Linked DNA regions of Rattus norvegicus. The protein of the gene in region 3 purifies or fractionates together with the protein of the main gene of each other region. This does not show direct contact. Links are inferred from orthologs where the notes say so. Each region holds a gene or a part of one and is shown on either strand. Other genes may lie near its edges.

Evidence for each region. The genes of interacting proteins can lie anywhere in the genome.
Region 1: the proteins of Zc3h18 (region 3) and Virma purify together in Homo sapiens (affinity purification with mass spectrometry; 3 studies listed by BioGRID and IntAct, counting the BioPlex papers as one, with this or other methods). This does not show direct contact. The link is inferred for Rattus norvegicus from reciprocal best matches to the Homo sapiens genes ZC3H18 and VIRMA.
Region 2: the proteins of Zc3h18 (region 3) and Srpk2 purify together in Homo sapiens (affinity purification with mass spectrometry; 3 studies listed by BioGRID and IntAct, with this or other methods). This does not show direct contact. The link is inferred for Rattus norvegicus from reciprocal best matches to the Homo sapiens genes ZC3H18 and SRPK2.

Annotation. Positions count from the first base shown.
Region 1 is NC_086023.1:29,765,077-29,768,595, forward strand, and holds part of Virma (protein virilizer homolog), read left to right. Parts: intron 1-980; coding exon 981-1,096; intron 1,097-3,519. UniProt on the Homo sapiens protein: Associated component of the WMM complex, a complex that mediates N6-methyladenosine (m6A) methylation of RNAs, a modification that plays a role in the efficiency of mRNA splicing and RNA processing.
Region 2 is NC_086022.1:12,502,728-12,506,246, reverse strand, and holds part of Srpk2 (SRSF protein kinase 2), read right to left. Parts: intron 1,489-3,519; coding exon 1,380-1,488; intron 140-1,379; coding exon 52-139; intron 1-51. UniProt on the Homo sapiens protein: Serine/arginine-rich protein-specific kinase which specifically phosphorylates its substrates at serine residues located in regions rich in arginine/serine dipeptides, known as RS domains and is involved in the phosphorylation of SR splicing factors and the regulation of splicing.
Region 3 is NC_086037.1:67,380,022-67,383,540, forward strand, and holds part of Zc3h18 (zinc finger CCCH domain-containing protein 18), read left to right. Parts: intron 1-1,959; coding exon 1,960-2,064; intron 2,065-2,362; coding exon 2,363-2,506; intron 2,507-2,729; coding exon 2,730-2,795; intron 2,796-3,519.

The DNA of each region.
Region 1 (3,519 bases), on a different chromosome or scaffold from region 3:
TGCCTATACTGTTTATGGTAGCTCATCATGACATTATGTTTTAGAAAAGCAGCAGAATATTGGAAGAAAGGGTGGAAGGCACGTCACAGTCTGAACCTTCCGTTTAAAGGTGTGCACAGACTTGCCGACTTCATTTCCTACTTCACTTATCAATGGATGTCTGTTTTATATATCCATATATTTGAAGCATCCATTAAAATTTCTTGAGTATCTGGAGTCATGAACAGAAAAAGTTTGGTCTAAGTAAACATTATTGAAGAGGTAATACAGAACATGTTATATAATACCAATTGAGAGACTTAACTAGGTACATTATTAGGATAAACCATCAGCTATTTAAAAATACTATTTATGTGTATGTGTGTATCTCTCTGTGTGCCACATTTATGTGGATGCCTTTGGAGTCTAGAGGACTCCCTGGGCTCCCTGGAATCGGGTGGTAATGGATGCTAGGAGCTGAACTCTGGTCCTTTCAGAAAAGCTGCCTGCATTCTGGACTGCTGACTTCTCTGCAGTCCCATCATCTGCTGTTTTTTAAAAAGTGATTTATATAGCAGCATAATTAATATAAAAGTTAATGGTATGTTTAGTGATCTGGACTGTGTTTCTGATGAACATGTGAGGCTTGTGCTTTTCTGTTGTTGCTTGCTTTAGTTTTTCGTTTTTTGTTTTTTTTCTTTTGAGACAGGATCTTTCTGTGTGTAGTCCTGGCTGTTCTGAAAGGCATTCTGTAGACCAGGCTGGCCTCGAACTCATAGAGATTCACTTGCTTCTGTTTCCCAAGTGCTGGGATTAAGGCTTGCACTGCATACCTCCCCACCCCCCAATCCCCAACTTGTGAATCCTGTGCTTTTACAACACTGTTATATCTCACCTCTGGATTTTAAGATTGTTGTTTTCATTTTAAGCCAAAAAGAAAAAAAAAGTATGTTTTGAATTGAAAAATGTTTTACTTAAAGTATGTTTCGTCCTTTTTATAGCAAAGTTCTCATATAGATGTGGTTCGTTTTCCATGTGTGGTTTATATCAATGAAGTCCGAGTTATACCCCCGGGAGTACGAGCCCATAGTGGCTTACCTGACAACAGAGCATATGGGTAAGTCAACTCTTTTTTTTTTTTTTTTTTAAACTTAAATGTGCTCTACTCCCCACAGCCCTGTGTATAGTGTGTTGAGACACTGGAAACTTGTATGTCTCTCTGTGTGTATGTGTGTGTGTTGAGACACTGGAAACTGCTAAATCATTTGAACATAATATGTAGTCCAGGCTGACTGGTCTTGAACTCACAGTGATCTGCCTGGCTCTCTCTCCAGAGTGCTGTTATTTAAATGTGTGTGTCTCCATGCCCTGCCATATGTGTTTTTCTGATTTTTAATTTATTCGGTAGTGCTAAGGATCAGACCCAGGGTTTATCGTATGCTAGGTGAGCGTTCTATCATTGACCATTCCCAGAACAGGTGAAGTGATTTTGAGACTTTTTCTTTTAAAATAAAAAGAATTAATTTTGTACCTAATATATATGTGTGTGTGTGGATATGTATGTGTTGTCTGTGTATATGTATGTGTACTGTGTGTGTGCCTATAGAAGTCAAGAGTGGTCAAATCCCCTGAAACCGGATGTAATGGATGCTTGTGAGCTGAGTTTCTCCAAGAGTAATAAATGCTCTTAACTCCTGAGCCATGTTTCCAGCCCCTCATTTGAATATTTTAAAATGTGCATTTTTGTTCATTTTAGGGGTAGGGATTAACTTAGGGCCAGTGACATATTCTACAGTGTTCTTTCCTTACCTTCCCTTTCTTAAAAACTTAGTTTGAGATAGTCTCACTAAGTTGTCCAGGCCAGTCTTTAATGTAGGACTGTACCTTAGTCTCCCAAGTCGCTGACTGTAGACGTGTACTACCAGTCTAGCTTGTACCATACATGTGACTTTGTGTATTTGTGTATGTACACATGCAGGTACATTTGTATCAGAAGCCAGAGGCCAGCATTGGGGTCTTCCTCATGCTCTCTCCACGTTATTTTTTAAGATATTGTCTCTTGCTGAAGTGTTTGGCTTGACTGGATCGCCATCAGCCCCCGGGATTTTCTAACCTCGGATTGCCTGCACCCAGTGTGGTTATAGACATATCTGGCTTTTATGAGGGGACTGGGAGTGTGAGCTCGGGTCCCCATGATTTTGTGGGAGGTACTTTACCTATTGATCCACTCCCCAGACCCTATGTCTATACATATGACTTCATAAATTTCTAGCTTCAAATGAGCCATTGATTGTAATTAGCAAGTGATTATGTGTTACATTCTCTTTCTTGGGTTAGTGGGAAGTAAAATGTAAGACCATTGTTCCTGACATTAGATAACTTTAATAATTGACATAAAAGAGGGTTTTGATTTTTGTGATGTCAATAATCATTATTTCCTATTTAGTTATCTAGCTTAGAGATAGAAACTGTAGTTTGGCTGTGAAAATGTGAATATATATGATAAATGAATTTTTTAAAGACCTTTTAGCTTATAGCATAGGCACTGGTTTTGTTTATTGATACATTTCATTTTATTGATACTATTTGTAATTCCATTTCTTTTATATAAAATAGTTCAACCTGCTGCTTCCTGGTGAATATTATGGGACAGATTCAGGGTCAAAGTTCATTTCTTCCTAATTGTGAAAATTTTTTGTTATTTATAGAAGTAGATGTAGAAGTCTTCAGAGGTGTCATTCAAAAATTACAATGTAAAATATAAAACAATCATTAATTATTGTTTATAATAGAGCTCATACATTTTTTCCATGTTTAAGGAATTTAGGAGAGATGAAATTAGGTTGGTTGGTAGAGTACTGGCTTAGCATGCACAAAACCCTGCATTGACCCCCAAGCATAGCATAGAATGAGAGTGGCATGCCTATGATCAGCATTGTGGAGCAGAGCCTGGAGGATTGGAGCTTAAGACCGGCTAGGGCATCGTAAGATGCTGTGTGGAAAAAACTACCACAAACACTGACTGAAGTTTAAACTGCACGGGGAGACGTGCGTGCATTTCTGGCACTTGTGAGACTCAGGCCTTCCAAGTACTCTTTAGCTCCATAGCAAGTTGAAGTCCAGATGGGGCTACAGGATACGTGGGATTGGTTAAGTTCTGTCTGCACAAGGTATGAGGACCTGAGTTTAATCCTTAGCATCCTGTCTATAGTCAGGATGCGGGTCAGAATTGTTATGTTACCTCTGCTGGGAATCGGGTGGAGAGTTTGCTTGGAGCCATTCCTTAGTAGCAGATATTCTCTGTGGAGGTCCATCATGCTCAAGCCATAGCAGAGCTTTCTCCAGGGTGAGCGGGACACAAGTGAGCATTCCTAGGAAGCCGCCTCAGGTAGTGTTCCTGTAACTGATTATTGGAAGTGACACGCTGAGAGTTTTACTATATTTTCTCAGTTATAGATTCTAGACCAGTATAGAGACTGAACAGATTCTGAGTAACAGGAAGCATGGGTCACTGGAGACATCTTGAAGCTTGGCTACCAC
Region 2 (3,519 bases), on a different chromosome or scaffold from region 3:
GCAGTAGTTAGCCATTTACTTTTTATTACTCAGTATGTATTGCTTACTTACACATTTGAGCAATTTAATTTCATCCAAGGCTGTCTCTGTATAATGCTGTGCACTTTTTACAACTTTCATGGCGACAAACCTCTTCCCTCTTTAGATAAAACAAAGCATGGTTATTGATGTTACCAGTGTAAGAAGTGATTTCTACAGTGGGTGTAGCCAATTAGCAGGCAACAAATTGACCCTTGCAGTAAACTTCCCCTTAAAATAGCATTTTGGGGCCATTCTACAAAGTTGTCCTCATGCTGCAGCAAATGCACCATTACACACCCCACATATATCATGTATTCATACATACAGTAATAACATTTAATTAAAATCACACTTTTCAAGTTTGGGCAACACAAATAAGTGTTCATGGGTTAGACAATGCCTTATGTTTGCTGTTTCAATTCTAATTAAGACAGGTAGACAGGAAAACTGTCAGCTAACAGCACTGAGGGAAAAGTATTCCTTTATATTGCTTCATGTATGTTCATATGCACACACAAACACACAACTACACATGAACGGGTCAGCTGTGCAATAATGAGGCTTCCTGCCTTCGTCCATGTGGCTTTTAAACAATGTCACAGAACACTGAGTTGAAAGACCTATACATTTTCAATTTGTATCTGGGTTTTTTTTTCCTGATATGAATTAATGAATAGAAAAGTAACAGGCTCTGATGTAAAGCAATTTTTAAAAACTGGCTCACAGGGGTTGGGGATTTAGCTCAGTGATAGAGCGCTTGCCTAGCAAACGCAAGGCCCAGTTCCGAAAAAAAGATAAAGAAAAAAAAAAAAAACTGGCTCACAAACTACAATTAGCATTGTTTAAAAATATAAGTGAAGGCATGTAAGAGTGGGGTGAAGATCTAATACTGCAGGGCCTGTGCTAAGCAGCGCCTCACACGCCACCAGGTAGCATGACCCTTGACTACATCCTCTTAAAAGCGGATGTGGTGGTTTGTATATGCTTGGTCCAGGGAGTGGCACAATTAGGAGGGTAGCAATGTTGGAGTGGGTGTGGCCTTGTTGGAGGAGGTGTGTCACTGAGGGGGGTGGGCTTTGAGATCCTATCCTCAAGTTCTGCCCAGTTTAGAAAAGGTTTGCTCCTGGCTGCCTTCAGATTAAGATGCAGAATTCTAAGCTCCTTCTGCACCTGCCTAGATGCTGCCATGCTCCTGCCATGTTGATGGACTGAACCTCTGAACCTGTAAGCCAGCCCCAATTAAATGTTGTCCTTATAAGAATTGCCTCAGTCATGGTGTCTGTTCACAGCAGTAAAGCCAGTAAAGACGGCAGATGTGCAGCATAACTCAAGAGCACATGATGACAAAGGATACTTACTGCATATCCCAGCATAGCCAGACGGTGGAAAAGTGCCCCCATCCTAGCTTCCTAATGACATGATAGCGACCATTGAAGAGGTCTCCGATTTTCACTGGATGATAGCCACCTGAAAAAGAAAACTAAATATCTCAGGAAAACAGCAACACATCCTGTCATGCCCTGTGTCTGTCCCTAATGTCCTTAAAGGAAGCACTAAAGAACAATTAGATTAAAGATTACTCTTTTAGAAGTGAAAAATTCCTATACATACTCATTAGACTGTTTTTTGCTTATTTTAATAAAATTTGAAGCAGTAACAAAGCATGCAGAGCTCTGACAACTTGACAGTTTGTAATTAAGTCAAGGTGTGCAGACCAATGTACATGGACTCATCACTGAAATACTGCTTTCTTTAAAAACTCAAAACTTCCTATGCATACCAGAAAGCCAGCTGAATTAGATTTCAACTCTGCATAACTTTGTATACACCAATAGTTTATGGATAATTGTGTGCTGCACATCTTAATTATTCCCCAACCAGCCCTGTTGCTCTCAATACTCTTCCTCCAACCTGAAACTCTGCCAGGAAACACAATACCGAGTGACAGTGCTAAGGTGCTGTCGAGGGAGGGAGGTAGCTCATTGGTATCTAGGTAAACAACAAGAAAAACATGTTGCCTTATATTTTTTCCTCCCCCCTCGCCCCCCTTGAGAACAGGTCTTACTAAGTAAACTTGGATGGCCCAGAACTCACTCTGTAGACCAGGGTAGCCTCAAACTCAGAGACCCTACCTGCCTCTACCTTCTAGGCGATAGGAGATAAAAAAAGGCAGGCTCAACCATGCCCAGTTTTGCCTTGTGTTTTAGGTAAGCTAGGCTAAACAGCAGTATTGTGGTATCCTTTTTATGACAGATAAGAAATGGTCTAGGAGGACAAGAGGTTAGCCATGGGCAACCCTGATATAAACTCATCACCCTAGTCTTAGGACAGAGAAGTCCTGAGTAGCTTAGTTAAAAAGTTCTATGCACCCTGAAGGCCAGCAGAAAGAATGGGAGGTAGGAGGTGGGGGGACCCTCTAGAATGTACCAGAGACCCTGGAGGTGAGAGACTCTCAGGACTCAAAGGGAGGAACCTTAGATGAAATGCTCTACAGTGGGGAGAGGGGACTTGTAGAGTCCACTTCCAGTAGAAAAACAGGGCATCAAGGGGAGAGATGGGGTTGACATCCCACAGTCAAAAACTCTGACCCAGAATTGTTCCTGTCTGAAAGAACTGCAGGGACAAAAATGGGGAAGAGACTGAGGGAAAGGAGGTTCAGTGACTGGCCCAAAGTGGGATCCAGCTTCAGGGGAGGCCCCAAGGCCTGACACTATTACTGATGCTATGGTGTGCTTACAGACAGGAGCCTAGCATGACTGCCCTCCGAGAGGCCCAACAAGCAGCTGAAAGAGTCAGACACAGATAGTTACACCCAACCAATGGACAGAAGCAGGCGACCCCTGTGGTTGAATTAGGGAAAAGCTGGAAGAAGCTGAGGAGGAGGGCAACCCCATGTGAAGACCAGCAGTCTCAACTCACCCGGAACCCCAAGATCTCTCAGACACTGAGCCACCAACCAGGCAGCACACACCAGCTGATATGAGGCCCCCAACACATATACAAAAGAGGGCTGCATGGTCTAGTGTCAATGAGAGAAGATGCACCTAACCCTAGAGAGACTTGAGGCCTCAGGGAGTGGGGAGATCTACTGGGGTGGGGGAGGTATGGGATGAGGTCAGAGGATAGACTTGAAGGAAGATAAATACTTGACTGTAAACAAAATTAAAGAATTAAAAAATAAAACGTTCTATGCTACTTAGGTGCACATCATTGTTTGCACTGCTATCTCTAGGTGACATGGCTGACAAACAACCACCACTAGTGAATGTTTTACATTCAAGTCCTCAGACAGCCAGAGCACGTTTTGTGAGCAGAACTGCAAGGAACCATCTCTCCTGGAATCTCACGCAGGTACCACAGCTCCTGTTTTCTAGGGGCCCTGGGTCTAGAGTGCTGAGAGAACACTGAAGTTCAAATGTTGTCTCTTAAAAACAGACCAGTTACACAAAAGCAGCACAGAAGTATTTTTTAAAACAAAGAAAAACACATTAAAAGCAT
Region 3 (3,519 bases):
CTGAGGGCTGGAAGCAGAGAAGTGTGCCGGCACACCCAACTGGGCTTGCTTTAGTAATGAGAGGATTAGAATGCAATTCTGCGGTCACCGAGGCTGTCTCATGTGATGCTCACTGATGGTTTTGTGGGGTGTGGAGTAAATTACATGTGGGTCTGTTTCATGACATTGAAACTCTTGTAAAATAGCAGGCAGCCGGGAGGGGAAAGTAGCCTAGAGACGACTGTGTGGCGGCCATCCATAGACGTGCTGACACAAACCCCAGAGCACAGGCATTGGCAGGTTCCTTCTGCAAGTGTCTGCGCATGGGGGATGGAGTAGGAGTGAGGGGGTACGGTAGAGAGAGGAGACCATGGGCCCCAGAGTGGGAAGGACAAGGAAAACCTGTGGGAGGGAGTCTGAGACAGAGAAAGGTCACCTAGCGCACTGTGTGAATCTGGGGCTGGAGAAGTGGAGAACAAGGGGCCTTTAGAAGTTTTGTACTCAGTGTGGAGAGAAAGTTGTATGTATGATCTTTGTTTTGGGCAAGCAGCTAATGATCGTAGCAGAAGGTAGCCAGAAAAACACTCCATGCTCTAAGGTTAGGACCTTGGGTCAAGGAGGCAGCTGCAACAGGACAGAGAGGCACGGACTCAGATATCTGTCCGTAGGTCTTTCTGGATACTTCCCGGTAAATGCAGCACAGAAAGCAAGAAGTCGCATGGGTCCCATAGCAGGCAGGACACAGGAAGTACATGGCAGTGTTTCAGGTGTACCAGTGGGAACACTCCCCATCCCATCAGTTGCCCCAGAAGCTTCATCATGTTCTCATCATTGATCATTTCCGCAGGAGGCATGCTTTTCCCAGTAGCTTAGCCTCACTTGGTGTACATACTATCCTCCTGGAGACCTGTGGTTCTGGGCGTCCTCCTTTGAAGTGAGGAAGGAAACCTGTAGTCCTAGCCTTGGGGCATTGCAGCTGTCCTTCCTGAAGTTCATCTGTAGTAGCCCCTCCCAAAGGCACACTCAGGAGGACCTGCTGAGGAAGAAGTATAGGCTGAGGAAGGGGAAGCTGGCATGTTGCCACAGGCTTGGAGGGTTCCTTCTGGTCCTCCTATAGTGCTTGCCCTTCTGGTCCTCCTATAGTGCTTGCCCTTCTGGTCCTCCTATAGTGCTTGCCCTTCTGGTCCTCCTATAGTGCTTGCCCTTCTGGTCCTCCTGTAGTGCTTGCCCTTCTGGTCCTCCTGTAGTGCTTGCCCTTCTGGTCCTCCTGTAGTGCTTGCCCAAGAGATGAGGCAGCAAACAGGAGCCCATGCAAATAAACGCCAGGTTTTCCCGGCATCTGCCTTTGAACGTGAAAGCATAAAGGACTGCAGGAGCCTGACCCATGCTGACCCCCCACCTAGCTCAGAGTAATAGGTATTCATTTGGTGGCTTTTGAGTAGCTAACATAGGCCAACCCAGTATCTTTCTTCCTCTTGACTAAAGTGTGACCTCACTGTCAGAACTTCATCCTGGAAACTCCGCCTGGGCCCAGCACCCTTTCCTGGGCTGCTTCTCTGCCCTGCTGACACCTGACACTGGGGTCATAATCTCCCCACTGTACTCTCCCTGCTTTTATCATGCTATCATGACCTTTGTGCTGTGCTTGTGCCTGCTGACCAAGTGCTTGGGACCCTTACCAGCTCTGCCACCTCCCAGCTTCTAGGTCAGATTCCACACTTAGCCAAACCCATAGTCACCCATTTGGTTGGCCCCATGCTAAGGCAGAGCCATGTGCCCTCTCCTGCATACAAGCACCCATCTCTGAGCATGCACGCTACCCTTTTCTGTTCTCTCCTGAGTGTGTGTTGGATCAGATGGTAAAGCGGCTGAGCATGAACCCAAGTTCTCTGTGGATCAGGACCATTTCCTAGGGGATGCGCCAGCTCCAGCCAATCAGGGATCTGCCAACCTCGTCCTCACACTCTCTTTGTTCCCCAGGTCCCGGTCCTTCTCCTCGTCCCCATCCCCATCTCCCACACCTTCCCCACACAGACCTCCAGTCAGAACCAAGGGGGAGCCGGCCCCGCCTCCCGGGAAAGCAGGGTGAGTCCTGAGCCCCTCCACAGGTCACTGTGGTGCTCCACCTCCGTGGGGTCTCCAGGGCTTCCAGCCTTCTCCACTCTCCCCATCCCATGCTTGAACTAGAGTGAGCAGCCTCCAAGGGGCAGCAGATATGGCTCCCAGGTGGGCGGAGGTGCGGGCTCAGCACCTACACTCGGGTTCCTGTGGCATGGGACCTTGGCAGTCATGTGCTGTGCCTGAACTGCAGAGCCCTGAGATGTGGGTGTATTAAGCAGGGACCCTGGCCCTACCCTTCCCTGACCCTGCTTCTGCCTCACAGGGAGAAGTCAATAAAGAAGCCAGCCCCGCCCCCAGCCCCACCACAGGCCACCAAAACTACTGCACCTGCTCCTGAGCCTGCCAAGCCTGGAGATCTCCGAGAAGCCAGGAGAAAGGAACGGCAAACCAGGACTCCCCCAAGGAGGTGAGCAGTGTGGACTTACAGCAGTCCTGGTACAGTTCTCCTTGTCCTTGGTGCTGCTGGGTATAAATGCTGACGAAAACTGGAGACCAGGAGGTGGGTACATCCCCAGAGAAGCAGCAGGGAGCCGAGGCCCAACCTGGAACAGGCCCATTACCAGCCTGGTGTGCAGGAAGGCTCTCTCCATGAGGCGCCTCTGAGGAGACCTGTGCTGCTTGTGTTGCAGGCGGACGCTCAGCGGCAGTGGCAGCGGCAGTGGTAGCAGCTACAGTGGCTCCAGTTCCCGATCCAGGTCACTTGCTTGGTCCTACTCCCTATTGACCTTTTCCCTCCCTCACCAGGTGGGCTGACCATGTCCGGGGCTCTTCAGTGTCCAAGAACACAGCTCAGGGTGACCATGGCCTCCCTCCCTTCACACAGGAGCACCTTCCTAACCTGAAGGGAAGAGCCCTAGACTGGTCCTTCTACCCAGCTGGACAAAGCTGAGGCCGGTCCCAGGTTCTCTGCCCACAGAGAACTGAGGAGAGACTGGGTGTTCTCTGGGCCTGCCGCTCCCTAGTGGAGGGAGTCAGCCCTGAAGTAGTTGGGAGGAGAGAGTTAAAAGAAAGAGTTAGAAGGTGGAGTCAGCTTGGTGCTTTTGGAATCTGGTTGATCATTTTTCCTTCTATCCTTGAGCATCAGGGCCTTAGCTTTTGTCCAAGGCTTTAGCAGTCTAGACTTTCAAAGACCTGTGGGGCTTTTATTTGTTGGCTTTTTGAGACAAGGTGCCCAAACTCGCTCTGTAGACTAGGCTGACCTGGAACTCATGGAGATCCACCTGCCTCTGCCTCCCAAGTTCTGGGATTAAAGGTGTGTGCCACCATGAACCCTTGGTTCTGTCTCTCCCTGTCTCTGTTCCTCTGTTCTGTCTCCTGATGACCTTAGAAGAAGCTGGTTGGTGTTTGTGATAGACACGTCATGGCTCTGCTGGTCAAAACTGTATCACCATCTACTCTCCCCATCCCACTCCACCCCTG